Linked DNA regions of Diceros bicornis minor. The protein of the gene in region 4 purifies or fractionates together with the protein of the main gene of each other region. This does not show direct contact. Links are inferred from orthologs where the notes say so. Each region holds a gene or a part of one and is shown on either strand. Other genes may lie near its edges.

Region 1 (8,245 bases), on a different chromosome or scaffold from region 4:
CACCCCCAGGGAAAAAATATGTTCGATGCCCCTGTAACTGTCTCCTTATCTGCAAAGTGACTTCCCAGCGGATTGCCTGCCCTAGGCCCTATTGGTAAGAGGCATAAGGTGGGGAAGGGCATTTTCCCTAGTGAGGAAAATTGGAAAGCTAAAAAAAGGATGAATGTTTATAGAGAAGGTAAAAGTGAGAGAGCCTGGTGTTTTTTTAGAAGGAGAAAAAGCTAAGGACTATGGTGTCTCTAGAATGTCATAGCCATCTTTCTCATCTCTCAATAAAAAGATTGGGATGAAATGGTTTCCTTTAGGAGAACGGAGAGTCTCGGGGACTGGGAGAATTATCCTAAAGTAAAAGAGGAATTAGAGACCTGAAGTTTAAACAGTGCTCTTCTTCAATGATTCTCTGGGGTACGGTTGGGGGGCAGAGCCTTAAATGCACAGAGAAGTAGATGAACTCAGAGAGGCAGGGAGTAGGGGATGTGAAGGAAGGATAGCGTGGGGATCCTTAGGATTAAGAATATTTTGAACATAGTCTTTTTCTCCTGTACAGCAAAAGAATCATCAATCTTGGGCCTGTGCATCCAGGGCCTCTGAGTCCAGAACCACAACCCGTGGGTGTCAGGGTCATCTGTGGACATTGCAAGAATACTTTTCTGGTGAGGAGAGATATTGGGAAGCCCTGGAAAAAAGAAAAACAAGAGTAATCATGAATATATTTCTGAATGATGATAATGAATCCTGAAAAGGTCTGTTCTATGAGGACCTATTTCTCACCCTCTCCCTGCCCTAGGGCTCTTATTGAAGATGACTTCTACTATTAAAGCTTCTACTATTAATTGCTTTCTCCCTTTTTCTTTCTCCATAGTGGACAGAGTTCACAGATCGAACCTTGGCCCGTTGCCCTCACTGCAGGAAAGTGTAAGTGATTAAAGAGTGGCATCGTTGGGCTGGTAATGGGGTAATGTGTAGAGTGAAAACTACAGGGTCATTACAAGCGTCTATTTCTGTTTGGCTCCCCACAGGTCATCTATTGGGCGCAGATATCCACGAAAGAGATGTATCTGCTGCTTCTTGCTTGGCTTACTCTTGGCAATCACTGCCACTGGCCTTGCTGTGAGTAACCTTGATCAGACCCTTCATTCTTCAGCCTCATCTCCACAGGCTAAGATTTGGGAAATGGCTACTCCCCAAAAAAGTGAAACTGAGGGCTGGGTTGTTTTGTCTTGTTTTAATGTGCAGATGAGCTGAAGTTGAACTAACTGATAAACAGTCCTCGCTGTTACTAAAGGAGTAAAAACCAGCCATCTTTTTTATGCAGAGGATAGGACAACAGAGAAATGGCTTAAATTAAAGAGTTGGTATTAGGAAACCTAAGATATTGAGAAAATCTGACAGTTGTCTAGGATTGTATGAGTTATGTTCCTGCCTAGGAGGAGGGAGCTGAACAACTGGGCCTTTAAAAAGGTCCCTGAAGGTGCCTACATGTGGACAGGGAACAGGAACTGAAGCTTGAGTTCTGTGTTACTGTTACCGGGGCTCCTAGAAAGTGGTGAGAGATCAGCAGTAACCCCATCTTTCTTTTTCTTCTTCACCTTCATCAGTTTGGCACATGGAAGCATGCACGGCGATATGGAGGCATCTATGCAGCCTGGGCATTTGTCATCCTGTTGGCTGTGCTGTGTTTGGGCCGGGCCCTCTATTGGGCCTGTATGAAGGTCAGCCACCCTGTCCAGAACTTCTCCTGAGCCCCATGACGACCCACAGACTGTGCCTGGCCCCTCCCTGGTGGGGACAGTGACACTACAGAGGGAGCCGTGGTAAAAGGCTCCCCAGGGCTTCTGTAAGAGGAGCCGAGCAGCTGCCTTCCTTTTCCCTGGGGAGAGGTAGGAAGGAACCAGGCCCTCACCTAGGTTTGGAAGGGTAGATAAGACCACTGCTGGCCATCTGCTTTCCCCCAGGGGTTGCTGTTGAGAGTGAAGTAGGTGAAATGTTGCCCTTAAACCTGGGCCCTAAAAGACGGTTCTAGCCTCGTTCTTCCTATGTGCTCCCCAAGAGCCATTCCTGTCCCTTACACATTCCAGGGCAGGGTCGGGGTGGGTAGCCCTGGGGGTTTCCCTCCCTCTTGTGCACTCTTAGGACCTTGCTGCTGCTATTGCACTTCACCAGGGGCTGGCTCTGGCCTCAGTACCCTCAGTCTCCTCTCCCCCCATTCTGTGTCCTGTGGGGGTGGGGTCAGCTGCTGCTCTGTACAGAACCACAGGAACTGATGTGTATATAACTATTTAATGTGGGGTATGTTCCCCTAGTCCTGTGTTTTCCTTCATTCCTCCTAACCTTACCTCTCAGTTGCAGTATTTAACTGGGCTGGGTAGGGTTCTTCTCTGTTGGGGGAAGTTAGGGACTCATCCTGTGCTTGTAAATAAATAAGGTTATGACTGTCCTTTTCCAGTTGTTAATCTATACGTATGAAAAGATGAGGAGGGGAATTTGTAGCCCTACAAAGGGGTAGAATACAAAGACAGCAAGGCTGAAACTATGGCTCTTTATTTTCACATGGACAGGTCAAGGAAGTCATCAGTAGCTTTTGTTTAATGTAAAAAAAAAAAAACCCGTCAAAAACAAAACCAAACCTCTGGCTTAAAGAAAACCTAAGTCTGTCACTAGGAGCCTGGTTGAAGGATTCATATTTTCACAAAGAAAATACAGTGCAGATTTCTCTAGAGAGCAGTTTTTAAAGAAGTTTGGGAGCGGGGGTAAGAAGTTTTAAAGCTAGTTTGGGGGGCTTATTTCCCAGGCTCAAAGTGATTTGGGGGAGGTGTCACAGTGCTAGGTATAGGGTGATGGGACAGTGGTCACTGCCCAGGGCCTTGGAACGGATCTTGCTGTCACACAATGCAGGTAACAGAGAGTGAGACAACAAAAAATAATCAAGGCGCCAACCAACATTTTTGGAGCGTGCATTCATCATATAGGTCCAAAAGGTGTAGGCATAGGCCGTGTCAGGGTAGAGATGCCGGAAACTGTCAGCCAGTGGCACAGCCTGCAGCAATTCCCCAAAGCCCTGACGCTCTTGTGGCGTGAAGCCAGCATTCTTTTTGTTTCCCTTGGGGTTACGAAGGTCAATTTCTTCATGAGCCACATTGAGATCCCCACATAGCACAAGGGGCTTGCGGGAAGCCAGGCCCTTCAGGAACTTGCGAAAGGCTTCGTCCCAGCGCTGCCGGTACTCCAAGCGCACCAGACCCCGGCCTGCATTAGGTACATAGGCTGTTACCAGCACAAATGCATCAAATTCAGCCACAATCACTCGGCCTTCCTGATCATGTTCCTCCTCACCTACAGAAATGATGAAACAATCAGAATAAAGAGGTATAAAAGGGAAAACAGAGAATAAAGGAATCAAGAATTGGGGCTCAGTCGGGTATTAGCAATTGGTTTGAAAGAGCTCAGGCGTTAGGAATCAATAGGGTCTCACCAATGCCATAGGAGACTTTGAGTGGGCACTGGCGGGAAAGCAGGCCCACACCACTGTACCCTTCCTTGTCTGAAGGAGCTGACCAGTACTGATGGGATAGTCCAGACAGCTCTTGAAGTTCAGCTGGTAGTTTGTTCTCTGAACATTTGGTCTCTTGGAGGCACAGGATATCTGGGGCTTCTTCCTTTACCCACTGAGTGAAATGACAGGTAGAAAAAGTATCATCAATTCAGCAGACATTTATTGAAGAAGTTATGTTCTAAGTACTAGAGATACACAAGTGAGACAGTCCTTGTGGAAAAGGAGTGTAACAGTCTAGGCACAATATTTAAATAATTTAAACAATGATAAATTATGTAACTGCCACTGATGGAGGGAGGTAGGGAGAGTGGTACAGGCAACACTGAGATGTGGTTTTCTACAGGCAATGGATAGCCAGCTGAGATTTTTAAGCAGTAATTTAAATGGAGGATATGCTGGAGATAAAATGGAGCAAGTCCAGTAACAAGGTTTTTGCAACATGCTGGGGAAGAGATGAGGACATCAAAACAATGCTAAGGGAATTGAAGGAATGGACCTTTAGGAAATACAACTGGTATGAGTTGGTGAAGGCCCTCCTTGTGCCTCTCCCCCAAGAAAACTACCAATAAGGGAAAAATAAAACCTACATGCTTGGGACTAAAATGAGAAAAGGCAATTAAACCCGTAGATCATTCAATACTAAAGGCTGTCTCTTCCCCTCCTTGAATTGCACTCACATCTAAACCTTTCTTCTTAATCCAGGCTCGAAGCCCATCCACATTCCAGGAGCAGATCTTGAGTGTGGCTGATTTGCCACTGGGTGAGGTTTTGTGATCTGGGGGGTCCTCATACAGGACTGGTCCCTCTCCCGCTGCCTCTTTTTCGTTTTTCTTTGCTCCTGCCTTACTCTTCTTGGCCTCTGGCTCTATAAATGAGTAATACATAGTGATAAAACTTGGCGGTATTTAATTTTGATCCAGAGTTAACTACAGACCCACAGCCTGCAGTTGCCGCGCCTTTTTCAGAAACTCGGCAAAAATATATTTAGTCTGGCCTACTTCCGTTCATCGGAGCAATTAGAAACACCCCATCGCAGCCTCTAGGGAGACGGGCTCATTTCATTCTCTTACCAGTCTTGGGCCCTTCTCCGTCTTCTGCCACCGCTCCCTTTTTCCCACGCTTCGGCATCACTGTAACAAACGCCCTTCGGCACCCGTTCCGCGTCGCCCACCGAATCAGTATTTTTACCGCGTTGCCTACAGACGCAAAGAAATCATGAAACCAGCTGAGGCTGAGGAAAAAACTCCTCCCTCGGGCGCCCTCGCACTAGGTCCCGCCTTTGAAACCATATTATCTCAGAATCCTTTCCCCGCCTCCGCGCACTATAGGCCCTTCAGCCCCTCACCCACAAGACTAGATCATTCTATACTGCCTTGTACCCTCCTCGCGAGATCTGCCCTCCGGCCAATCCAGGGCCTTAATTAAGGGTGCCGATTTAGGCTGGCCGATCAGACGTCCAGAGAAGCCCCTGTGATGGGCAAAGAACAGCAACCCCGGATCTGACCTCCCCGAGTCCCAGCCTGGCTCCTCCTCACCCGAGCACAAAGAATGCAGCACGTTGTGGCCCCACGTGGGTAACTGGCGTGGTCACGTGTTCTGAGGTATGTATTAGGTGGCGGAGGAATGCTGGTGATTGGTTTGTCTGGCACCACATGACGGGGCAGCTCGGCCTTCCCGCCCTTCGCCCTGTCTCCCGGAATCGGAAGGACCTAACCCTCCATCCTCGGGCTGTTTATCGGTGTGCCAGATGCCCGACTCATTCTGCCACCTTGGCCGAAGACCCCAACACTGTGCAAGAGGGAGAAAATCAGTGGAGAAGCCTGGGCTGAACCGCGGGAGAGAGGCAGAAGAACGGATGGGAACGTACGGAGGAGATGCCGGCTCAGCGTCTCTGGCAGTTAGGAGGACAGGTCCTTGAAGGGGCCTTGACGGGTCGCCGTGACACGGGGGCGGGGCCGGCGCGGGCGCGCCACCCGCAGGAGTACTTTAGTGTCTGTCTGTGCGCGCCGCTACCTAGCGGCGGCTTGCTCGTGGTCTTTCTTTGCGCTCCGGAATCAGCGACCTTGCAGGGCCTGGTGAGGGCTCCGCGGATCCTTTGGCAGCTAGGAGCCCTGCCGGCATTTTCTCTCAAGCTTGGCCATGCCTACGGTGCTGGGTTTTGAAGGCAGCGCCAACAAGATTGGCGTGGGAGTGGTGCGGGATGGCACGGTGCTGGCGAACCCGCGGCGGACCTACGTCACGCCTCCGGGCACAGGTGCGTGAGTAGTGGATTTGTAGTTTGCGGCGCGCTTCTCTGCACAGCATGACCTTCCTCCTCCTCAAACACTAGTGACATAGGGAGTGGAGCGCATTGTCCGCTTCGTAGAGTTTTGATCCGAGTCTCTGAGATTCTGACAGTATTAACGTCACAAGGCTGATAATAGAAGAGTCGCAGGCACTTGGACCTGGATCTTTTGGGTACATTCAGCTTTTATTGAGTGCCTTTTATGTGCTAATAATCAGCTGGCTGCTAGATACAAAAATAGGTGTTGTGAGCCTGCTATGGAATCCGACATATAAACAGAACTTTACAGTACGGTAAATAGTGTAATATAGATGCAATCAAAATATTCTAGAATGAGAAGAAGTTTAAAGACTCTCAGCTTAGGTGTCAGACAGAACTGGCTGGCTTTGCAGTATTCATGTTCAGTATTTGTTTTTGGACTTCTGTTCCTTACTCTTAAAATGGGAATAATAATAGTACCTGGGTCATTGGGTCTTGAGAATTAAATAAAAGTACCAGACACATTGCACTTGTAATAAATGTTATTTGTAAGTTATGATGTTACGTCTTGCCTATCCTCCTCCAAATTACCTGCATACATAGGGAAGGGTAATTGACTTGCATATACCTGAAAAGCCTCCGTGAACAGGCGATGTTGTGACAGGTTACTCATTAACAATACATGTGGGGCTGGCCTCGTGGCTTAGCGGTTAAGTGCACGTGCTCCGCTACTGGTGGCCCGGGGTTCAGATCCTGGGCGCACACCGACGCACCGCTTCTCCGGCCATGCTGAGGCCGTGTCCCACATACAGCAACTAGAGGGATGTGCAACTACAACATACAACTATCTACTGGGGCTTTGGGGGAGAAAAAAAGGAGGAGGATTGGCAATAGATGTTAGCTCAGAGCCGGTCTTCCTCAGCAAAAAGAGGAGGATTAGCACGGATGTTAGCTCAGGGCTGATCTTCCTCACAAAAAAGAATAAAATAAAATGAATAAAAAACAAAAGTAAAAAAAAAACAAAAACCAATACATGTGTATGTTTAGCACTCACTCGTCTAAGCATTTTGACACCAGGAATACAAAGATAAATAAAATAGCCAGTGCTTTGAGATGCTCATGGTTAAAACTTGGGAAACCACAGATAATTATAATGCTATAATAGTTATTTGTTAAATACAATGATGTGATCACGCACAAGGTTCTGTAGGCTTGCAGAGAAGATCTCCAAAGGCTATGAGATAGGTGTCACTTGAATTAAGTCCTGAGGGCTGAGTAGGAGTTGAGTATGAAGAAGGGCATTTCTGAGAGCTGTTCAGCATGGCTGAACAGGCTGGAAGAAGTAGATCTGAAAACCTGGAAGACAGGATGCATGAGGAGAGTGAAAGGGACTCTTCTTACACTACTAAAATGCCTGTTTTTTACTTCTACCTACCTTTGCTATAGAAAAGCCCTATGATCTCTGACCTGTGTCCATCTCCTAGGATTCCTTCCAGGTGATACTGCCAGGCACCACCGAGCCGTTATCCTGGACCTGCTGCAGGAGGCACTAACAGAGGCTGGATTAACCTCCCAGGATGTTGACTGCATTGCCTACACCAAAGGTATGGCTGGGAGCGTGGTCGCCAGTGGAAGAATATACAGGCATACCTCAGAGATATTGCAGGTTTGGTTCCAGACCACTACAATAAAGCTAATATCGCAATACAACAAGTCACACAAGTATTTTGGTTTCCCAGTACATATAAAAGTTATGCTTACACTGTACTGTAGCCTATTAAGTGTGCCATAGCATTATGTCTGAAGAAAACAATGTACGTACCTTAATTAAAAAACACTTTATTGCTAAAAATTGCTAACCATCATCTGAGCCTTCAGCAAGTCATAATCTTTTTGCTGGTGGAGAGTCTCGCCTCCATGTTGATGGCTGCTGACTGATGATGGTGGTGATTGATGATGGTTGGGGTGACTAGGGCAATTTCTCTTTTTAGGGGGGTTGGGGCTGGGGCCCAAGACAAGCCCTGGCCAGGTACTCACTGTGGTCACCCTGGTTCTGCCCCTTCTCTCTGAGGGGCAGTTTCTCAAAATAAGACCAACAATGAAGTTTGCTGCAGCAATTGACTCTTCCTTTCATGAATGGTTTCTCTGTGGCATGCCATGCTATTTTGATAGCATTTTACCCACAGTAGAACTTCTTTCAGAATTGGAGTCAGTCCTCTCAAACCCTGCTGCTACTTTATCAACTAAGTTTGTGTAATATTCTAAATCCTTTGTTGTCTTTTCAACAGTCATCACAGCATCTTCACCAGGAGTAGATTCCATCTCAAGAAACCACTTTCTTTACTCATCCATAAGAAGCAACTCCTCATCTTTTAAAGTTTTATCATGAGAGAAGCAATTCAGTCACATCTTCAGGCTCCACTTCTAAT
Region 2 (7,387 bases), on a different chromosome or scaffold from region 4:
TCAGCATGGCCGGAGAAGCGGTGCATCGGTGCGCGCCGGGGATCCGAAACCAGGCCACCAGTAGCGGAGCTCGTGCACTTAACCGCTAAGACACGGGGCTGGCCCCCTGCCATTCTAATATTTAATACCCAATTTTCACCACTTGCTTAAGTCAGTTCTTTGAGATGTTACTGCCCCTGAACCATGACTGTACTTTTTATAACAGAAGCAGAAGCTGAAAGATGTAGACATCACACAATTTAATTCAAAGATTAAAAAGTAGAAAACAATAAAAATTCAGTTGCCAACTTAAGAGGATTTTACACATTAAGTACTGTATTTTATTTCCATGATCTGAAACTTATTTCTCACTCAAGAAAACAGATACATTTCTAAACATTTATTATATCTTTTTTTGATGGAAACAGACAAGACAGTTCCTTGACAAAACTGTCCCAGGAGAACAAAACAAATGCTTTTCCAAATTAGAGCACAAGTCTTCTTTAAATGTCAGTATGAGATAACTAAGTTATAGTAGCAGTCTTTTAAACTTCATAAAAGCTATTGTTAAGATGGTGGTTTCGGCCGTTTTGCAGATGGTCCATCTGAGTTAGTTCTGTTATCAATGTTATTTTCATCTTCCACATCATCTTCATCATCACCTTTTAAAATAAATATTTGTTGTATGACAATATGTTCAGTGCTTGAAAGAAATATAGATAGCTAAAATGGTTGATAATGAGACCATTTCACTTTAGGGGTTAATAAAACCATGCATATATCAGATCTGAAATATGTATGGTTAAAAAGATTTCAGGGGGGCCGGCCCGGTGGCGCAAGCGGTTAGGTGCGCGCGCTCCGCTGCGGCGGCCCGGGGTTCGCTGGTTCGGATCCCGGGCGCGCACCGACGCACTGCTTGGCAAGCCATGCTGTGGCGGCGTCCCATATAAAGTGGAGGAAGATGGGCACAGATGTTAGCCCAGGGCCGTCTTCCTCAGCAAAAAAAGAGGAGGATTGGCGGATGTTAGCACAGGGCTGATCTCCTCACAAAAAAAAAAAAAAAAAAAAAAGATTTCAGGAATTTTGGTGTTTAAAACCTTTCTTTTCTATCACTGTTTTTGGAGATATAATTCATATACCATAAAATTCACTCTTTTAAAGTATAAGGTTTATTGATTTAGTATATTCACTAGGTTGAGCAACTGATCATCACTAATTTCTAGAACACTTGCATCATCCCAGAAAGAAATCCCACACCCTTTAGCAGCCACTTCCTATTCCTCTCAGCCCTTGGCAACCACTAATCTACTTTCTATCTCTACAGATTTGTCTATTCTGGTCATTTTATATAAACGAATCATAAAATATGCGGGCTTTTGTGTCTGCCTTCTTTCACTTAGCATGTTTTCAAGGTTCATTCACATTGTAGCAGTTATCAGTACTTCATTGGTTTTTGCTGCTGAATAACATTCCATTGTATCAACATGCATTTTGTTTATCCACTTATCAGCTGGCGGACACTTGTGTTGTTTCTACTTTTTAGCTATTATGAATAATGCTGCTATGAACATTCATGCATACGTTTTTATGTGAACGTATGTTTCCAGTTCCCTTGAACTAGGAACGGAATTGCAGGGTCATACAGTAACTTCATGTTTAACTTTTTGAGGAACTGCCAAACTGTTTTCCAAAGAAGGTACATTTTACATTTCCACCAGCAATGTATGAGAGCTCCAATTTCTTCACATCCTAGCAACACTTATTGTTCTTTTTGATTATAGCCATCCTAGTGGGCATGAAGTGGTATCTTATCGTGGTTTTGATTTTCGTTTCCCTGATAGCCAATGACGTTGAGCATCCTTTCATGTGCTTATTGGCCACTTGTATATCTTATTTGGAGAACTGCCTATTCAAATCCTCTGTACATTTGGTAGATGGATTATTTGTCTTTTTAGTGTTGGGTTCTGTCACTTTTCTTTAGTAAGTCTTATAATTTTAAAACTTGGTATATTCATATAAGTTAAAATTCGTCATTTTAATCTCTGTCACTTTTAACAATGGAAATCCAAACCTAAGCTTTATGGGGACTTGTTTAAAGATACAAAAACATGTCCATCTATACAAAGACATTACACCATTAACAGAACAGGTGGCAGTTATTTCTGCAGTAAGTAATGACAAAATTTTTTTTTAAATGGCTCTAACTATATTCATTCTCATGCCAATGGTAATATTTTCAACAGATTAGGAGAGGTATTTTGGAAGCAAGAAACAGGATTTCACTCTCATGGAAACAACCTATTGTCTGAACTTGGTGTAATGTTCTGAATTGGCTCCTTCAAATTATCTGAAACTATCAAGATGAAAACAAGATGGAAAGAAAAAAAGTACAGTACAGTTTAAGCTCCTCTACAAAAAAGCTAAGTCCTGACTCCAATATTCAGTTTTTAGGTTCTTCAGCTCAGGGCAATCAAATGTCCCTATTTTTGTATTTAAGATGAGACTTAAAAAAAAAATTAATGCAGCTAAATTTCCCGCTTTGACTTTCAAACTTCACAAACAAAACTGAGAAAGGGAAGGAGTCCCTGCGAGTTCAGACTTGCTCAACTGAAATCTGTTCCAATCTTCGGAACCTGCTCCTATTCTGCGATAGATGGCAGCCTTCCAAACATGTTTGTAATTTCACACCTGGGAAAACTCCCTGTCATCCTTCAATAGCCAGCTTAAAAGTCACGCCCTCTCTGAAGCCTTCCGGGGTTCCCTGGGTTTGCAACAGTTACAGAAGGCCCTGGGGTCACACTCGCCCTTTTTACCCAGAGTGTCTACCTGTCTAACCGCTCACCAGAGTGAGAGTTTCGCAGGTAAAGGAACCGAGTCGCCTTCACCTCATTCTTTCTCCAGGGCTCAGCCCCATGCCTGACACCTAGCAGGAGGCGTGCAGCACGTTTTTTGTGATATAAATGAAGAATCGCGAAAACGCTTGGGTAAGAAGCAGCCCAGATTAATCAGCCCAAATACAGCGGAAAGTGCCAACGTCTTTTAGGAAAAACTTCTTCCCCTGAGGCTCACTTTCTCCAAGTCTGCCACTCTCCACGGGCGCCCCTGCCCCGCCCTCCTGTCGCTCCACACCGTCTCAGAGCTCACCGTCCAAGGCCTCGTCCGGTGCCACCGCCTCCCTGTCCTGCGCTTCCCGCTGTACCAGGGGGCCGAAGAGCTCGGCCACCAGCTCCCTCATCTGGGCCACTCCCGACAACAGGCTCTGGAAAGGGTCGGCGTCGCCGGGCGCCTCACAGGGCACCCGCAGCTGCCGCTGCTGCCCGTCCTGCCCAACATACTCGCCCAACAGCTCCATGGCGACCGCTGAGTTTCCAGAGCGCGTCACAAGGATGCGCCACCCGGAAGCGGAAGCCAGCCTACGGCGGGCGCGGGCGGGAGAAGGGAGGGGAGTAACTTCCGTTCATCGGAAGTCGCTCCTCCCCCTTCCTTCACCTCCTTTCTTTGGGATTGGTTCCTGGGACTCAGGCCCCGCCTCCTCCGGCCACGCCCCCTCGAGGCCGCTTTTCCCGCCTCCGCAGGGACAGAGCGGCGGTCCTGGTGACAGTTGAGCATGGCTGGAGCGGAGGGGCATGCTGGGCGGCAGTCGGAGCTGGAGCCCGTGGTATCGTTGGTCGACGTGCTTGAGGAGGACGAGGAGCTAGAGAACGAGGCGTGCGCCGTGCTGGGCGGCAGCGACTCCGAGAAGTGCTCCTACTCGCAGGTGGGCGCGCGGCCCGGGCGTGGTCTCCCCCGGGCTCCGCTGAGCCTCCTTTTCCCGACCGGACTTGCCCTGTTCCCGCCTGCCGCGGCCCGGCTCCCCCGTGCTGGTGCGGGGCCGCCGTTCTTCGTAGGCTCCCCCATGCCAGGCCCAGCTGCCCTTTTACCCTCAGCCCCTGGGCCCCCTTTCTCAGCCCCTGTCCAGCAGAAGCCCCCTCGTCCATCGGTCTGCCTCCGTCCGGCCCCTCAGGATTCCCGAGGCTCTGGCCCTGGAGCAGCTGCTCTGTCCTTCCTCTCCCGTTTCTTCTCGGCGCCCGGCTGCTTTTTACGAAACCATCCCCGTGACCTCTCACAATTCAGACATCTTTGTCCCTACTTTTCCGATCCTAAGAGTATTTATTGGGAACCGAATGGGAGAGTGAAAGCAGAGTTAAAGGAGAAAGGTCTGGATTTGAAAATCTCCCTGTGTGGGCTGGGCTCCTTGACAGCTAGTTCCTCTGCAATTTAGTTTGACAAGTGCTAGCTGGTAGCTTTTTGGCGAGACGAAGCAAGTACTGTGTCTGGCTGCCGTCTGCCCCCCATGGGGATGGACCTGAACCAGGACAGCAGGTGGCACTGGCAAAAGAGGAGAGGGGAAGAGGGAAGGAGCTACTTGAAGAGGAAATTTGGCACTTGGAAGATGTGAACAAGGATTTGAGGGGGTGTGATGTAGTGTTTGGTGACTCATCCGATATTTCTAGGTACAAAAATGGAGAAAGGTGGGTAGAAGAAAACTAACAAGGGATGAGAATTGGTAGGAGGAAGAATGTTACTTTCCAGGGGGGTGGAGTGGAACATTGGGGGATGAGGAGAGAGACTTGGGGTCATTATGTGATGTGGACTGAGATCATAATACCAGTTGTCACCATTGGCCAGTCAAGCTTACACTGCCAAATGGTTAGATTTTTGAAAGCACCTGGTATCTAGAGATAGTCCCAGGTGTTGGCTGGTATTTTAAAACGTTTGGTCACCACCAAAACAACTTTTTCTCTGCTTTCCTTTTTTAAAAAAAGCCTGTACATGAGCTATTTTTGAAATGTAGTTAGCTTTGTAAAACAGACTTCCTTAACGTTTTCGTTTTTTATTGTAGGAAAATGTATGGAAAATTACACAGAACATGTGTAGGGCTTGAAAAACAAACACACATATGCAGTTACCTACCACCCAGATCAAGAAATAGAACATTACTGGCATTCCAGAAGCTTCCTTGTGTCTCCCTTCTTCCTAGAGGAGGGTAACCATTGTCAAGATTTCTAAAAGTTTTGCCTGTTTTTCCTTCAGCTTTTTATTTTGAAACATTTTAAATCTACAGATAAGTTGAAACACCTTTGTACCTCTTACACATATTCACTTTTTAACATTTTACCACATTTGTTTAATCTTTCTCTTCTTCGTAATATACTATTTCCTGCTGAACCATTTGAAAATAAGTTGCAGATATCATGACACTACACTTCTAAATACTTCAGCATGCATCTCCTAAATATCAAAGGGATTCTTTTTTTTTGTGTGAGGAAGATTAGCCCTGAGCTAACATCTGATGCCAATCCTCCTCTTTTTGCTAAGGAAGATTGGCCCTGTGCTAACATCCGTGCCCATCTTCCTCTATTTTATATGGGATGCCGCTACAGCATGGCTTGACAAGCGGCACCTCGGTGCGCACCCAGAATCTGAACCAGCAAACCCTGGGCCGTCGAAGCAGAGCACTAGAACTTAACTGCTACACCCTCAGGCCAGCCCCTCAAAGGGATTCTTTTAATGCATTGATTTTCTCTTTGGTGGAATCACAGCATTTTCCGAAATTAAAGTGTGGTGTTCCTTACATAAACCTACACACATTCTCCTACATTTTCATGTGTTACAGTCACTAAACAGACCTGCTTATTCATAGCTGACTGAGAATATTAAACTTCCTATCACTTTAAGAAAAAATTGTATGAAAACAAGCACTAATGTAGTAAATATATAGTGATCTGAAACATGCAACAATGTTTTGGTACTCTCTCGTGTAAGCTTTCTTATTAGTCTTAGTGGTTTTTACAGGAAGATCTTGACCACACATAATCTGATTTCAGTTACTTCTCAGATCACATTATGGGTATTAGGTAACCATGCCATATTTAATTAATTTATTCTCTCTCTTTTTCCATTTTGGGGCTGTCTTTTAGGGCTCAGTAAAGAGACAAGCACTGTATGCCTGTAGTACTTGCACTCCAGAGGGAGAAGAACCGGCAGGAATTTGCCTAGCTTGCAGTTATGAATGCCATGGAAGTCATAAACTATTTGAACTATACACAAAAAGGTAAAGACAATTAGAGATTGGTGCTGAATGCTTTTTAAATGTTTAGATTCTTTCCAAGCTGCATTTTTTTCTTAATCTTGCTTTTCCATTCAAAGTAATTGTGCACGGGTAAAATTTAATGTAATTGTCTTATATAGTATAATTGGACAGAAGAGTTTTTCCAGAGGGCTTTTTAAAATACAATTATGGAACAAACTGAAACTACTCATCCTTCTATGCCATTATTTTACTCGTGTAAGTTACAGATATTTGTCTTTATGCATGTTAATTTCAAGAATTATTAAATCTTTTATCGTTATGTGCTTGGAGAAATTCCAAATTGGATACATGAACAGCAACCAAGGCCACTTTTTAGATCCCAAAAATGAGTTGAAAGGGAAGAGACTATGATATGAACTTAAAGAGTAGGTCATTAGATTTAAAAGAAAAATTAAAATTGGCTCTTCCTCCTTTGTTTCAGAAATTTTCGTTGTGATTGTGGAAACAGCAAGTTTAAAAATTTGGAATGCAAATTATTTCCTGTAAGTAAGCACTGTAACTATAGATGCATTGAAAGTAGCTGAGATTGATATTTGCCAGAGTGGGTAAAAATCAAATATTTTCCACAAAGGAAGTTCTTATGCTTATTCTTGGCAAATGGGCAAATCAATATTAGACTGTATTCCAGTTTTTATCCTGTTGGAAAGCTAAGTAACCTGTTCAGAGCCTACAGTATAGATTGTAATTAATATGAAAGGTTTGGGCGAATGTTCTTTGAAGTGATTCAGGTTTAGTTATGTTGATTGTACTCATGCTCTAGGACTTTTAAAGCAGAGGGTATGACTAAAAATTGAATAAATATGGGGCCGGCCCCGTGGCTTAGCGGTTAAGTGTGTGCGCTCCGCTACTGGCGGCCCGGGTTCGGATCCCAGGTGCACACCGACGCACATCTTGTCCGGCCATGCTGGGGCAGCATCCCACATACAGCAGTTAGAAGGATGTGCAACTGTGACATACAACTGTCTACTGGGGCTTTGGGGAGAAAAAGGGAAAAAAAGGAGGAGGATTGGCAACAGATGTTAGCTCAGGGCCGGTCTTCCTCAGCAAAAAGAGGAGGATTGGCATGGATGTTAGCTCAGGGCTGATCTTCCTCACAAAAAAAAAAAAACTGAATAAATAATTTGATAATAATGAATATGGGCTAGTTGCACACAGGAGTTTTTACTGCTTTTTGGCTAATAAAAACTATGCTTATATGATAAGTTTTAGTGAAATAACAGAAATGAAAGAGAAAGTAAGGGATTTTGCATTGTTCGATCATAATTGCCAAAACTG
Region 3 (6,593 bases), on a different chromosome or scaffold from region 4:
AGGTCCACGCCCAGGAACTGAACCTGGGCAGCTGAAACAGAGCATGCTGAATTTAACCTCTAGGCCAGGGGGCTGGCCCCTCTGATGCTTTCCTTCTTTCTACAATTGTTAATTGGCATTTCTCTATGAAGAGCTTTCCTTTTCCCCTGCTCTCTTTTCTCAATTATCATGGTGGATGCATCGTTTTTTTTTATTCAACAACTTAGAATCCAAGAGTGTCATTTTGGGGTCATTTTTATTGGTCTACAGCATTCATGCAGTACTGTGCATAAATCATATCACTGTACAGTGCAATGGACCTTTAAAGTGAACACCCTATGTATCTATCCTCTCCAGACTGAAATAGAGAATACCACCAGCACTCCAGCACCTTCCCTGGTGCCCCCTCCCAGTCATGCTCCTCTCCAAAATCGTTCATATTCTTTTAGATGCTCAAGTTGTTCTAGCTTTGCTTCTCTCGGGTTAGTTCCTGAGTCCCTTTGACATGCCTCATGCTTCTGTTGTTCAAGCACTTCCTGACTTTCTGGCACTACAAGGTGCTCCAGGCTCAGCTTGTGTATTTCTTACCCCAGCCCTAGAATCCACCATTACTTTTTTGTTTTTTTTTCCCCCCAAAGCCCCAGTAGATAGTTGTACGTCATAGTTGCACATCCTTCTAGTTGCTGTATGTGGGATGCAGCCTCAGCATGGCCGGAGAAGTGGTGTTTCAGTGCGCGCCCGGGATCCAAACCCAGGCCGTCAGCAGCGGAGCGCGCGCACTTAACTGCTAAGCCACGGGGCCGGCCCGAATCCACCATTTCTCCAGGGAGCTCTGGTCCTTTGAGTGGAGAACGATACTGAGAAACCAAGGTCTGAGTGCAGGGTGTGTTCATTGCTACTGGGGTGTCACTGCTTCTAGACTTTTTCACTGGCTCGAACTAGGAAATATATATATATATATATATATATATATTTTTTGTGTGTGTGTGTGTGTGTGTGTGTGTGTGAGGAAGATTAGCCCTGAGCTAACATCTGTTGCCAATCCTCCTCTTTTTGCTGAGGAAGATTGGCCCTGGGCTAATATCTGTGCCCATCTTCCTCTACTTTATATGTGGGACGCCTGCCACAGCATGGCTTGATAAGCAGTGCATAGGTCTGTGCTCTGGATCCGAACCTGTGGACCCTGGGCCGCCGAAGCAGAGCACGTGAACCTAACCACTATGCCACCAGACCAGTCCCAGAAATATATATTTTTATGAGTTCATACTGCGGGGCCGGCCCAGTGGCGCAAGTGGTTAAGTGCGTGTGCTCCCCTGTGGTGGTCCAGGGTTCACCGGTTCGGATCCTGGGCGTGCACCGACGCACCACTTGTCAAGCCATGCTGTGGCGGCGTCCCATATAAAGTGGAGGAAGATGGGCACGGATGTTAGCCCAGGGCAAGTCTTCCTCAGCAGAAAAAAAAAAAGAGGAGGATTGGCAGATGTTAGCACAGAGCTGATCTCCTCACACACACACAAAAAAGAGTTCATACTGCAATCCCTAATTCCAATCCAGCATCACAGTTCTTTCTCACCTTCCCCCATTCCACAGTGAGAATTCGGGTTCTCGACATCCATATATTTACTCTTTTGCTCTACCGGGTGGAGTCTATGTTAAAGCACACCCCAAAGAGCTCCACACTGACCTCATCACTACCATTGCCAACGACGAACATACTAAGAGGAAAGCCAATTCTTTTGGTTCTTAGAATACATCCCATGAAAGCAGTCCAGTCAGAGAGCTGAGTTGAAAGGCACCTAAATTGTTTTCTGTGTGGTTTTGTTATCAATTGGATATGCAGTTAGGCTCATTTGTTTTTGTTTTTATTCAATTTTAGCATTTGATTTTTTTCACTCTTTCAAATGTATTTTTGACCACATAAAATATTCACATGGTTCAAAGTCAAAAGTACACAAAAAGGTATATTCCAAGAAATCCCATACCCATCTGAACACCCTAGAGGTGACCATTTTCATTAGTTTTGCGTTTCTTCTTCCTATGTCTTTTCTTTTTTTCCAATAAGCATGTGTGTGTCCTTTGCACTCTGCTTTTTTCACATAACAATATATCCTGGAGATCATTTTATTTTTCATTAAAGATTTTCATTCTTTTTTACTGCTGCTTAGGACTATTGTATGAATGTAGCATAGTTTATTTCACCAGTTCCCTGCTGACAGACATGTACCTTGTGTCCAATAGTTTTCCATTACCAATTATGTTACAGTGAGTGGCTCTGTGAATGTGTTGTTTCATATTTGTGAAGTAACATCCTACATGCGGGATTGCTGGTTCCAAGGCAGTGCTCCAGTTTTGTACTTAGTTAATACTCTGTTTCATTCAACAAACAACAAAGCACCTACTGCATAAACTGCACTGAACACATACCAGTGATGATATATCAACAATACAGAAGAGAACAAAACGAAATTATAATTTCAGATTATTAGAAATGTTATGCAGCAAATTGAAATGGGCAAATATGAAGAAGCGTGCTGGGGGTAGTATGTCAGATTGGTGATCCAGAAGCCCTCTCAGAGGTGACATTGGAGCCAAGATCCTAATGACAAAAAGGAGCTAGCCATGGGAGAGTTTGGGGACATAGTCTTCCAAATAGCAGAGTAAGTGCAAAGGGCTGAGGGCAGGCCACCCTTGGTCAGTAGCAGAGAGAAGGCCCCAGAGGCTGCAGAGAATGAGAAAGCAGGCAGGTGGGGTCGGAGGAACTGGGAGCCAGGTCACACAGGGCTTTTATAAGCTATGACAGGGAGTTTGGATTTGATTCCAAGGGCAATGGGAAATCGTTTTAGGATTTTAAGCAGGGACATGATATGATGTGATTTATATTAAAAATTAAGAACCGATTCTGTTGTGTAGAGAACAGGCTGCAGAGGTGCAAGGGTAGAAGAAAACCAGTCAGGAAGCTGTTGAAGGAGTTCAGAGAGAGACGGTGGCTCCCACAGGGGACTAGCAACGGAAAGGGAGAGAAGTTGGCTGATTTAGCATCTATTTTGAGGAGAGAGCCAACGAGATTTGATGATATAGTTCAGATTCATGTCCTTCCTTTTGATTCCAAAGGAGGAAAATAGAAAAGCAACGACAATCACCACCAAAAATTTCATGTCACTTTAAAAACATATTTTTTATTAAAAATGTCATAAAAGATTACTGTCAAAAATTTTGAGGAGGGCCGGCCCCGTGGCTTAGCGTTTGAGTGCGTGTGCTCTGCTGCTGGCGGCCCAGGTTCGGGTCCCGGGCGTGCACTGACGCGCTGCTTCTCTGGCCATGCTGGGGCCACGTCCCACATGCAGCAACTAGAAGGATGTGCAGCTATGACACACAACTATCTACTGGGGCTTTGGGGGAAAAATAAATAAACAAATAAAAAAAATTTTTTAAAGTTTGGGGAAAACACAAAAAAGTTAACAACACAATCCCATCACATCCAGATAACAAGTGTTTACATTTTGCTGTATTGTTCTAGGATTTCTATGCATATAGACAGTAATTTCCCTAATTGGGATTTTAGTGATTTTAGTCTTGCATTCTGATGGTTCTCACTGCCACTACTTTATTTCAGGTCCCTATCATTTGTCTTCTTGCCTCCATGGGGGCCTCCCTGCTGGCAGGCTTGACCTCCACACGGCCCACTTAGTGATCTTTCTAAAAATAAAATCTGATGGGGTTGTTGCCCCCTTTAAATTCCCCTTTGGTTTCTCCACCTACATGGCCAATGGGGCGGGGTGCAGAGCAGTATCCCTCGGGGACTATCCAATTCCACCTCCCTCCACAAATCACTGCCAGGACATCGAGCCACATCTCTTGGGGGTATTGGCTCTGGGAAAGAGATAGGGCGGGAAACCGGCCACACATCTGGCGCCCTCACACGAGGTCTTGCGGGGCGGGGGGGGGGGGCGGGGGAGCGAGGTGGCGAGGCAGGACCGGTTGTGCAGGCGCGCTGGGGTCACATGTCGTTCTAAGGGGCAGAGCTTCATGAAGGAGCATTCATTGGCTAGGTAGCCAACGGGATGTCTCGGGGTGTGGCAGGCCTGGCTGGGCGGGAACCTGTCGTCCTTCCAAGGAATCAGAGGGTGTCTGTTTGCGCAGGCGCTGTGGGGATCCCCCGTGGCACTGGGCACTAAGGTGCGGAGCTTGGTGAGGGACTGCTCATTGGCTAGGTAGCCATGGGGTCTCCCGGGGCCCGCGGGCGGCAGGGCCTGCTGGGCAGGAACTGAGGCCTCACTAGGGGCCTGTTTGTGCAGGCGCCCTGGGGTCGAGTCATGCGCGAAGGAGTGGGGCTTCTGCAGGGAGCCTCAGTTTCTCAGCAGCCAACGGAGTCTCCGAGAGCCTCCAGGATGGTCGCTTTGGCGGGAATCCACCACGCGCCCGGCGGCCTCACTAGGGCCTGTTTGCGCAGGCGTGCGGGGCGGAGTCAGCGTGAGGGGGCGGAGCTTTGGGAAGGAGCCACAGTTCCTTAGGCTCCGGCAGAGAGGGCGGAGTCGAAGGCGGAGCGCGGCGGCCATGCAGGCAGCAGACGCAGGCGCAGGCGGTGCGGCGGGCGGTGCCGAGAGCCAGGACCGCGAGGGTGGCCACGGCCTCCACGGCGGTGCAGGCGCGGCGACCGCTGCAGCCGGGGGAGCTCCGCGTGTTACGCGAGCACAGCACGCCCCAGGGCCAGGTGGAGACGCCACATCCACAGCCAGAAGGCCAGAAAGCCGACTACACATATTGTATCCTACCGGAGGGGACAGCGGGGAATGGTCTGGGGGCTGCCTGCGGGCGGGGAATGACGTGCAGAGGGACAGATGGGTCGGTGGCAGCCTGGGGGCGGAAAGGGGAGCGGGGGGGAACCGGGGACGGCTGGGGCTGGGATTGGTATGGGGGGGAAAGAAATGAGAGTAAAGGGGAACGGGGTGGCTGGGGAGGACTAGGGCCACGGGTGGTCTGGAGGGGGTGGAAGCAGTCCTGGAAGGAGTGAGACTAGTCAGGGTGGTCTGAGAGGGGTCCCGAGGCACAGAGTCTTTATGGATGGTGCCTTAACCGAATCTCCAGCGTCCTCAGCGTGCCTTTCCCGTCCCCCTTGGAGGCGGAGATCGCCCATGGGTCCCTGACCCCAGATGCGGAACCCCACCGAGGGGCGGTTCGGAAGGAGCTCACAGTGATTGGCAGCGTCCTGGCGGTGTAAATTCTCGGGGCTGGGTAGGATTAGCAGCGGGTGTCCAGGCCACCTGGGGCGCTCTATTGGAGACACGGAGACACGGGTTAGGTCTAGAGAGGGGACATGGTCCGCTAGACCCGTCTCCGTCTGAGGGGGCGCTCTAATGCACATAGCAAAGGATTCGGTGTAATGGATGCCTGAGAGGCAGAGCGAGGAAGGGGAGGAGTTACCGCGTCCAAATTGATTTTCTTTTCCCCTCACTTTAGCCGCTGGAAAGCTGAAGATTCTCGCCTCCTCCGAATTTCCATCATCAACTTTCTTGACCAGCTTTCCCTGGTGATGCGGACCATGCAGTGCTTTGGGCCCCCTGTTTCCCGCTAAGCCTGGGCTGGGAAAGGGGGCTAAGGTCTAACCTCCTGTCCCTTCCAAGGCAGTGCATCTTTCCTAGGCGGAAGATTGCTGCAGTCGCTGCCACTTTATTATGGGGCCCTGATGTTTTGCTTTTACTGGCCTTTGGGCACTCAGGGTCCACTTGTTTCGTTTGGTGATTCAGTGTTCATTACAGCAGAAAATAAAACTGAGCAGCTATTCCGTGTCTGAGTTCCTTTTCAGCTACTGCACCTCCTAATATTCTTGTCTTTGTCCTCATGGTGCGGGGGCGGTTCTGGGATTCAGATAGTCCAGTAGGACAAGGCAATTGAAGACAATTTAGGAAATGGAAGAAGGTGGGTCTTGTCATTCAGTATTAACTACTGTCAACATTTTGGAATATTTTCTTACTTTTATACTTGTATTTCTATAGTAAATAATAATATATAATGCATGATATTTTGCAAGTTTAGGATTTTTCCTGATATTTTTCATCTAATATGAACTTTCACTCTTTCTAAAAATTCTTCAAAAGCATTATTGAATAAATGCATAAAAGATAAATTGTAATTATTGAACATTTAAATTATTATTTTTGTGTGTGTGAGGAAGATCAGCCCTGAGCTAACATCCACGCCAACCCTCCTCTTTTTGCTGAGGAAGACAGGCGCTAAGCTAACATCTATTGCCAATCCTCCTCCTTTTTTCCCCTTTTTCTCCCCAAAGCCCCAGTAGATAGCTGTATGTCATAGTTGCACATCCTTCTAGGTGCTGTATGTGGGACACGGCCTCAGCATGGCCGGACAAGCTGTGTGTCAGTGTGCGCCCAAGATCTGAACCCCGGGCCGCCAGTAGTGGAGCGCACGGACTTAACCACTAAGCCACGGGGCCGGCCCCTAAATTATTTTCAATTTTTGCCCTATTATAGGTAATGATTCAATGGAATTCTTGTATATAAATCTTTGCATTGGGCTGGCCCCGTGGGTTAGCAGTTAAGTGGGTGCGCTCTGCTGCTGGTGGCCAGGGTTCGATCCCGGGCACGCACCGATGCACC
Region 4 (8,012 bases):
CAAGAGACAGTCTGTGACAATGTAAAGGAAGGACACCAGAGCTTATAAAAGTTGGATTTGCTCTCCTCTGAGAAGTCAGGGAGGGCTTCTCTGAGGAGGTGACATCCTTCCCTGAGGAAGGATGTCTAGATGGGTCTTGGCAACAAAGGGAGGGAAGAGTACTTCTGAGGTGGGAAATAGGAGATGCAAAGGCCCTGTGGCAAGAGGGAGCCTGGAAAGAATGAGAGACCGAGAGAAGGTAAATGTGTTTGAAGATCAGAGAGCAAAGGGGAGTTTGGTGTGAGATGAGTCTATAGGAGTCCCAGGCAGGGTCTCACGGGTCTTTATCCTAGGCACAATGGGGAGCCATTGAAAGGTTTTAAACTAGGTTTCCTACCACAGAAGGCAGAAGCAGTCTGACCACAGCATGCCTGGGACTTGATATTGTGTTTACACAGTGGGTTTTCCAAAGGAGGGGTTCAGACAGCTTTGGTAACCATGGAGATGGCTGTGTGGACATTAACAATTATGATAATGAAGCCACAAACTTGGGAAACTGGGTATTATAAATAGAATTGGTTCTGGGTGAGCTTTGAGTAGTCTGGGCTGATGAAAGGTGCTGGAAACCACATGATGCCAACACAAAGGGTCTGATGTTTGAAAAGGTGACCTGCCCTGTGTGTGAATGAAACGCAGGGACTGTGGCGCTGAGGGTTGGTCTCATAGCAACTCTGGGACCAAAGGGCCTTTCTTCAGTATTTCAAACAGGGTCCCAACGATGGGGGAAGGGACATGCACATAGGAAGAGTGTATGCTATCCACCAGGCACCTTCATGAGCAACAGCTTATTCAATCTTGATAAGCAATTGCCAAAGTAAAGCTAATTATCCTCGTTCCGAAGATGACGACTCTGAAACTCAGAGAAAGGATGTTTGTCGCTGCATGGCACAGTGTGACAGGCACTTATGGCTGCCTCCCCAGTGGCTGTGCCCAGCTCCCTTCCTCCTTGCTTACAGAGCACATCTCCACCTATAGGGGCTGAAAATGCCTGATCCTCATTTTTGCAGCTTCCTCTGCAGCTAAAGCAAAGACACATGGGCCAATTATGGCCAACGTCCTGTAGAGGAAGTCTGATGGGAGAGGAGCGATTTCCAGCAAAGGGTTTCTCCCAAATGTTTTTGTGTCTTCATATCATGTGTGGAACTCTGGTGGCCATCTTGTGACCATAAAGTGACAAGTGTAAGGACCAAAGCAACCTACTGAGGCTGGTGAAGGGCATGAATATATGAGGGTAGAAAGATGGAAAGACCATCGAAATCATAAGGTGACTGAAGGATGCCTGAGACTCTGTACTTCTTAAAATTTTGTTCTGTGAGATCATCAGTGAACTTGTTGTTTACCCAAGTAAGCTAATTAGTTGACTCATCTCTTACTTGCAGCTTCATATATCAAAACTGTGGCTGTCTACTAATTGTCCCCCATATAACTCCTCCCCTACTTCCTTTTAGTAATAATTCCCCTAAGTTTTAGCTAAGTCCATGGCTGCCCTGCTAGAGAATACATTTTCCAGCATCCTTTGCAGAGTCATGGGCCATGTGACTAAGTCCTGGCCAATAGGATGTGAGTGGAAGCGATGTGTGGAACTTTGGGCCACATCCTTAGCTGCTTGTTCTCTATGGCCTCACGCCCAACCTCCTCCTTGCCAACTGCAGAGGGGGACAAGGGAATAGACTCAGAGAAGGTAGCAATGGGTTAAGAATGACAGATCTGGACTGTTACATGAAAGAGAAATAAACATCTCTCATATTTAAGGCACTGTTTTTAGGTTACTTTATTATAGCAGCTTATCCTGTACCCTGCCTAACTAATACAGTAACCAAAATGCACAGCCATTCAGTGGTGGGACAAGTCAGAGTTCTTGTTGTAAGACACACAAACTGCCTTGCTCCTGCGTCTGAGCACTGGCAGCCAAGACATGGGGTAAACGAGGGGCTTCTATGGCAGGACGTGGTCCCAGTGGTCCCCTAGGACACCACACAATGGGGAAGGCCCCTTCCCCCCCGAATGGTGGTTGGATGATGGAAGTCTACTTACAATAGCTACTATATTAAGCTACTATATTATGCCCTCCATAAACAATAACAGTTTTCATTTATGGAATGCTTGTCATATACCTGGCATAGCTCTGTGGCTTTTACCTCTAGTTACTCATTTAATCCTCACAAAAACCCTCCAAGATAGATATTATCTACAATCTTATTTTATAGATGATAAACCAAAGCCCAGAGCAATTAAATAACTTGCTCTTCTTCAAACATGCCAAGCACACTTCTGCCCTAAGGCCTTTGCACCTGTTAGTCTGTGCCTGGAATGCTCTTCTCCCAGGAATCCATTCACGAGGCTCAAATGTCACCTTTTCCTTGAAGCCTTCTCAATCACCTTATTTAAAATCCTACCACTCCCCACTGCCCTGCCACCCTGCACTCTACTATCCATAGGGTGACCACATAATTTATCACCCAAACTAGCATGCTTTTAAGAGGGAAGGGGGGACACTTGTTATGCCAGGACAACAGGTTACAACTGGGGCCATCCCTGGAAAACTGGGATGCATGTCATCTTAGCCATCCCCCTTCCCTATTTTATTTTTCTCCATAGCACCTATTACCCTGGGGTATCATCCTTATTTATTTGTTTTTTTTCTGTTTCCACCTAGTAGAATGTAAGCTCCATGAGGGCAGGAATTAGTTTCCATTTTATTCACTGCTGTGTCCCAGGCGTTAGCGCAGTGCCTGGCCTAGAGTAGTCACTCAATAAATGTTTGTTGACTGAATCAGTGAGTGAGTGAATGAATGGGCATCTGGTGCTGATGGGTAGGAAGTCTCCTTCAGGGCCAGCCTTAGGCTCAGAAAGGGCTAGGGCCGAGAGACGAGCCCTCTCCCCACCATGCTCCGCTGCTTGGCTATTGTACCTAGAACCTAACTGCCCATTCCGCAGCCAGAAGTGGAGGCCTTGAAGGGCCATGCCTGTGCAGTCACCCCAGCCTCGAAGCACCTCCCTTCCAGCAGGAAGAGCCCTTTGGGACACTGCTTCTCCTCCTGCCCTTCCAGCTCCCAGCCTGTCCCCAGCACCAGCTTGCTCCAGCCACATGGAGCTGCTGGCCCGTCTCTCACCCAGCCCCGCCCTGTCTGTTCTCTCTGCCTGGAACCTGAGCATCCTCCCACGACTCCACTTGGTTGAGGGTGGAGCAACCTGGGAACCTCAGTGAGGGCAAAGGTACGGGAAGTGAGATATACACTCGACAGGAGTGTAAATAGGCACAAAACTGGACAGGGCAGTTTGGCTGATGGATCACATTTTAAAATGCTCATCTTCTACGTCCCAGAAACATCAATTTTAGAAAGACATCCTCAGCAACACTCATGCATGAGGTCAAGGATGCCCGGATAAGCCTGCTCACTGCAGCACTATTTGTGAGAGAGCAAAAAAAAAAAAAGAGAGAAAAACAAAACAAAACTGGAAGCAACTGTTTAGCAACAAGGATGGGGTAGCTCTATATGTACTGATATGGAAAACTGTCCAAGATAATTGCTTAGGGGGAAAAAAGCAATTTGCCAAAGAACGTGCAGTATGCTCTCATTTATATTGGGAAAAAGCCCATAACTATGTGTGAGAGTGCAGGTGTATCAGGAAAAAAATCTGGAAAGAAACTGTATACAACGGTTGGTGGTGGGACAGACTGATGACCATAGGCATTTTGATTTTTCGTGTGTGCAAAATTCTGTATTGTAATAATGATGTACACCTGAAATTTATATAATGTTATAAACCAATGTTACCACAATTAAAAAATAAATAAGTAGAACTAAAAAAAAAAATTCTGCATTGTAAGAGTTTGCTACAGCCTGTATTGGCTTTGCAATTAAAAAACAGATACAAACAGTAAGAGTTTGTCTGTTAATCACTCCCAATTCACCTTAGGTTCTATCTCCTCTGGAAAACTTTCCCTGATCCCACCTGCCCAGCAGCCCCACCATCCCCACCACCCTCTTTGAGTCTCAATTATTTTTTTCTGTAAGATGAGTTTTCATCATTTAGCCTTATTACTCCTTAATGCACTTAAACGGTAGATATTATTATCCCACCACTAAAGACGATGTTAGACTTATTGTCTACCTGCCACCCCCGACTCTGACTACCGTGAGCCCCTCTTGAGGGGAATTCAGGAGCCAACGGACGCAGACGTCCAAAGAGAGAACTCCCGGTACCACAGCTTCATAGGAGCCAGAGAGACTCCTGGAAAAAGCCGATTTCGAACCGAAGTTTTCCGGAAAGAGCCGAAGAGCTGGGAGGCGGTCACCAAAGCCGACCGCGAGAGTCACGGAGGACTTCGGGAGAGAGCCGAGGCGTGGGATGAGGGACTTACCGAGAGTTGCCGAGGGTTTACGGAGATAGCCGAAACGTGGGAGGCGGGGCCACAAGAGCCTTTCCGAGGGGCAACGAAGGCTTCGAAAAGAGCCGAAAGGTTCGGAGGCGGAACCGCTTCCTCAAAGCGGAAGTGTCGGCGTTCGAGTGGCCGCAGAAGCCCGAGGATTTCCGGAGCGAGCCGAAACCTCTCCGACAGGTTCCGGAGAGAGCCGAGGGATACCGAGGGGCGGCGCTGAGGCGCAATCATGGCGGCGGCTGGTGTTGCTGCGGCTGAGAAGGACGAGGAGCCCGCGGCGGAGGCCGAGGCGCTGGCCGCGGCCCGGGAGCGAAGCCGCCGCTTCCTAAGCGGCCTGGAGCTGGTGAAGCAGGGCGCCGAGGCGCGTGTGTTCCGCGGCCGCTTCCAGGGCCGCGCGGCCGTGGTGAAGCACCGCTTCCCCAAGGGCTACCGGCACCCGGCGCTGGAGGCGCGGCTCGGCCGGCGGCGGACGGTGCAGGAGGCGCGGGCGCTGCTCCGCTGCCGCCGCGCAGGTGAGGCGCCCGGGCGGCGCGGGGAGGGGGCCCCTGAGCCCGAGCCGCCATCTGCCTCAGTTTCTTCCTTCGTACCTTCTGCCGTATTTTGGCATTAGGAAATGCCCTTTCATGCCTGTCTGCATGCGTTCCTTCCTAAGCCGCTGGGCCTGCAGCGACGGGCGTTTGTCCCGCAGCCCTTGCGCCTGGTCGGTTCCCGGCCCTGCCACCCGTGCTCGCCGTCGAGCATGTTCTCCCACCGCCCCGAGCCTCGGTGTACCCGTTTGTGCTGCCTCGGTTTGCGATCGTTATCTTCTCATCCATCACTTTTAAGAAGCAGATGTAATTACAAGGACGTGCCCGGGAGCCAGGCTCTCTGGGTTCGGATACTGACCCCGCTGCTTCATATGGAGCCTTTCAACACGTTGCTTAACCCCAGCCTCAGGTTCCTCCTTGTAAAGGGAAGTCCTAGCAGCAGTAGCCACCTCGTAGGCGTGTTGGGACCATTAGATGAGGTGTGTATGCCGTGTGTTCGGTTTGGGTGTATGACTGGCACCTACCGCTCGGTAAACGTTAGATTTCATTAAATTCATTAAATTGTGTGTTTCTTCATTAAAGCATCATTGTGCACCACCACCGTAAGCCTTGTCCTCAGATGAGTTACTGAGGATCAGAGAGGGGAGGTAACTTGCCCAGGGTGACACAGCCAGGCGCTCAGCCCGTAGCCCTCTGACTCAGAAACACTGGCTTTTCACTTCTACACGTCCTGCCTTTCTTTCTTTCGTTGGTATATTTTAGGCGCCTGCTGTACCCCGAGACATTGTTAGGTGCTGGGAGATCTGGAGGAAATTCAGTAGTGAACAAGCAGACACATCTCTGCCCTTGCTTGGATGTAGTGAAGTTACTTGTGTGGTCATGTCTTCTGTTTTCACCCTCTGTGGGGGATAAGTTCAATTAAGCAGGGATGTGGCTGCCTTGTTTCCTGCAGTATCCCCCCCATATGTCTCCAGTATCTAGAAAAGTGTCCTGAACATGATGACATTCAATAAAGATTCACTGAGTCTTGGAGTTCAGTGAATTCATTGAATTATAGGCGGTGTTGTTCTCATAGTGTAAAAGCTGAAACAGAGGCTTGGAGAAGTTAATGCGACTTGAAGGTTATACGGTTACTGAGGAAAGGAGCTGGGATTTGCACCTGTCCTGCCTGATGCAGAGACGAATCTCTAGGCCAGCACACTGCGTGGCCTCCTGTTTGTGTCCCTGTCAGGCAGAACCTGCTCTGACCGCTCTGTTTTCTCTTCTGGCTCTTCATTTTGTTTTGTTTTTTAGGGGATGAGTATCACAGATGAAGTCCAATCATAAAGGGTGGGAAGGAGGAGGGAGCTGTGGCATTACAAACCGTAGCTGTGGGTGGTCTGAGGCACAGGCTTGCAGAGCATGAGCAGGGGAAACTTCCAGATGGGTTAAGTTGTACCATTCTGCAGCAGTCCTAAGTCGTCTTCCTGAAATAAGCAGAGATAGACTATAAAAAACAGGCTCAATCTTTGAAAAGTAAGCTTACCATTAAAAAAAAAATAAAAAGAATCTAATCCAATAGCCACTTGTGTCTTGATTACAGGGATATCTGCCCCAGTTGTCTTTTTTGTGGACTATGCTTCCAACTGCTTGTACATGGAAGAAATTGAAGGCTCCGTGACTGTTCGAGATTATATTCAATCCACTATGGAGACTGAAAAGACTCCCCAAAAGCTCTTCAGCTTAGCCACGACAATCGGGCAGGTTTTGGCTCGAATGCACGATGAAGACCTCATTCATGGTGATCTCACCACCTCGAACATGCTCCTGAAACCCCCCCTGGAACAGCTGGACGTCGTGCTCATAGACTTTGGGTTGAGTTTCATTTCAGCACTTCCAGAAGATAAGGGAGTTGACCTCTACGTTCTAGAGAAAGCCTTCCTCAGTACCCATCCCAACACCGAGACTGTGTTTGAAGCCTTTCTGAAGAGCTACTCTGCCTCCTCCAAAAAGGCCAGGCCAGTGCTAAAAAAGCTGGATGAAGTGCGCCTGAGAGGAAGGAAGAGGTCCATGGTTGGGTAGAAGAATGTGTGTGACAGCTCCAGACAGCTAAGCTGTTTACTTCAGAGTAAATTTGAAGGAATGCTACCAAGTTGAGATTAGATCTAAATAAAGTTGTTGAGGTATTTTTAGGTGCTGTCTGATAATGCTTGTTAAGTGTCATTATCTCTGCGGTTGGCTGTTAGCAAGAGCTTACTGTGTGCATAAGACACGTTCTAGGCAGAATTGGGTATTTAAAATAAGTCTAGGACAGGCTTATACCTCAGGTTTGTGGGCAGGCCGTTATAAAACTTCAAACCACATAAAGAGAACATTATTCTCTTCAGTCCTTCTGGTGAGACAAGGACAAAGTCTCAGTTGGTGACAGTATGTCTTTATCAGCCCTCTAACGCAGCATTTTTTTTTGATGTGTTCATGACATATTCCTCTTAAAACCAGTATAGTGGGATAGAACCAGTATTTTAAAAATGAAATAGAATCAGAGACTAGAAAATATCATGTGCATTATATGTGGTATTGTAAGTATTCTTTCATGAAACTTGTTTCAAATGTATATAGACAAGGGTCTATACTGGGTTTTGATGTAAAATATATATATATTTTTTTTTTGGTGAGCAGGATTGGCCCTAAGTTGACATCTGTTGTCAGTCTTCCTCTTTTTGCTGAGGAAGATTAGCCCTGGGCTAACATCTGTGCCGATCTTCCTCTATTTTGTATGTGGGATGCCTGCAATAGCATGGCTTGATGAGTGGTGTGTAGGTCTGCGCCTGGGACCTGAACCTGCGAACCCTGGGCTGCCGAAGCGAAGCGTGCGAAGTTAACTACTACGCCACTGGGCTGAACCCCAAGATATATTTCTTGTTGAGGGGCTGGCCCCGTGGCCTAGTGGTTAAGTTTGGCACGCTCCACTTTGGCAGCCCGGGCACGGACCTACACCACTTGTCAGGAGTCATGCTGCAGTGACCCACATACAAAATAGAGGAAGATTGGCACAGATGTTAGCTCAGGGTGAATCTACCTCA

Evidence for each region.
Region 1: the proteins of TP53RK (region 4) and OSGEP purify together in Homo sapiens (affinity purification with mass spectrometry; 5 studies listed by BioGRID and IntAct, counting the BioPlex papers as one, with this or other methods). This does not show direct contact. The link is inferred for Diceros bicornis minor from reciprocal best matches to the Homo sapiens genes TP53RK and OSGEP.
Region 2: the proteins of TP53RK (region 4) and GON7 purify together in Homo sapiens (affinity purification with mass spectrometry; 5 studies listed by BioGRID and IntAct, counting the BioPlex papers as one, with this or other methods). This does not show direct contact. The link is inferred for Diceros bicornis minor from reciprocal best matches to the Homo sapiens genes TP53RK and GON7.
Region 3: the proteins of TP53RK (region 4) and LAGE3 purify together in Homo sapiens (affinity purification with mass spectrometry; 5 studies listed by BioGRID and IntAct, with this or other methods). This does not show direct contact. The link is inferred for Diceros bicornis minor from reciprocal best matches to the Homo sapiens genes TP53RK and LAGE3.

The regions. Positions count from the first base shown.
Region 1 is NC_080744.1:28,852,266-28,860,510, forward strand, and holds the start of OSGEP (tRNA N6-adenosine threonylcarbamoyltransferase), read left to right. Parts: upstream 1-5,166; 5' UTR 5,167-5,692; coding exon 5,693-5,807; intron 5,808-7,300; coding exon 7,301-7,420; intron 7,421-8,245. Other genes in the region: PIP4P1 (type 1 phosphatidylinositol 4,5-bisphosphate 4-phosphatase), read left to right, coding at 1-94, 548-653, 863-915, 1,020-1,110, 1,599-1,742; APEX1 (DNA-(apurinic or apyrimidinic site) endonuclease), read right to left, coding at 2,816-3,333, 3,473-3,665, 4,231-4,418, 4,624-4,681. UniProt on the Homo sapiens protein: Component of the EKC/KEOPS complex that is required for the formation of a threonylcarbamoyl group on adenosine at position 37 (t(6)A37) in tRNAs that read codons beginning with adenine.
Region 2 is NC_080763.1:38,867,446-38,874,832, forward strand, and holds GON7 (EKC/KEOPS complex subunit GON7), read right to left. Parts: upstream 3,366-7,387; 5' UTR 3,332-3,365; coding exon 3,124-3,331; intron 642-3,123; coding exon 547-641; 3' UTR 225-546; downstream 1-224. Other genes in the region: putative E3 ubiquitin-protein ligase UBR7, read left to right, coding at 3,587-3,736, 5,940-6,073, 6,534-6,594. UniProt on the Homo sapiens protein: Component of the EKC/KEOPS complex that is required for the formation of a threonylcarbamoyl group on adenosine at position 37 (t(6)A37) in tRNAs that read codons beginning with adenine.
Region 3 is NC_080781.1:138,416,513-138,423,105, reverse strand, and holds LAGE3 (EKC/KEOPS complex subunit LAGE3), read left to right. Parts: upstream 1-4,081; 5' UTR 4,082-4,155; intron 4,156-4,274; 5' UTR 4,275-4,533; coding exon 4,534-4,742; intron 4,743-5,064; coding exon 5,065-5,193; intron 5,194-5,436; coding exon 5,437-5,551; 3' UTR 5,552-5,758; downstream 5,759-6,593. UniProt on the Homo sapiens protein: Component of the EKC/KEOPS complex that is required for the formation of a threonylcarbamoyl group on adenosine at position 37 (t(6)A37) in tRNAs that read codons beginning with adenine.
Region 4 is NC_080758.1:14,772,996-14,781,007, forward strand, and holds the start of TP53RK (EKC/KEOPS complex subunit TP53RK), read left to right. Parts: upstream 1-4,621; 5' UTR 4,622-4,652; coding exon 4,653-4,935; intron 4,936-6,532; coding exon 6,533-7,011; 3' UTR 7,012-7,028; exon of another isoform or gene 7,029-7,121; intron 7,122-8,012.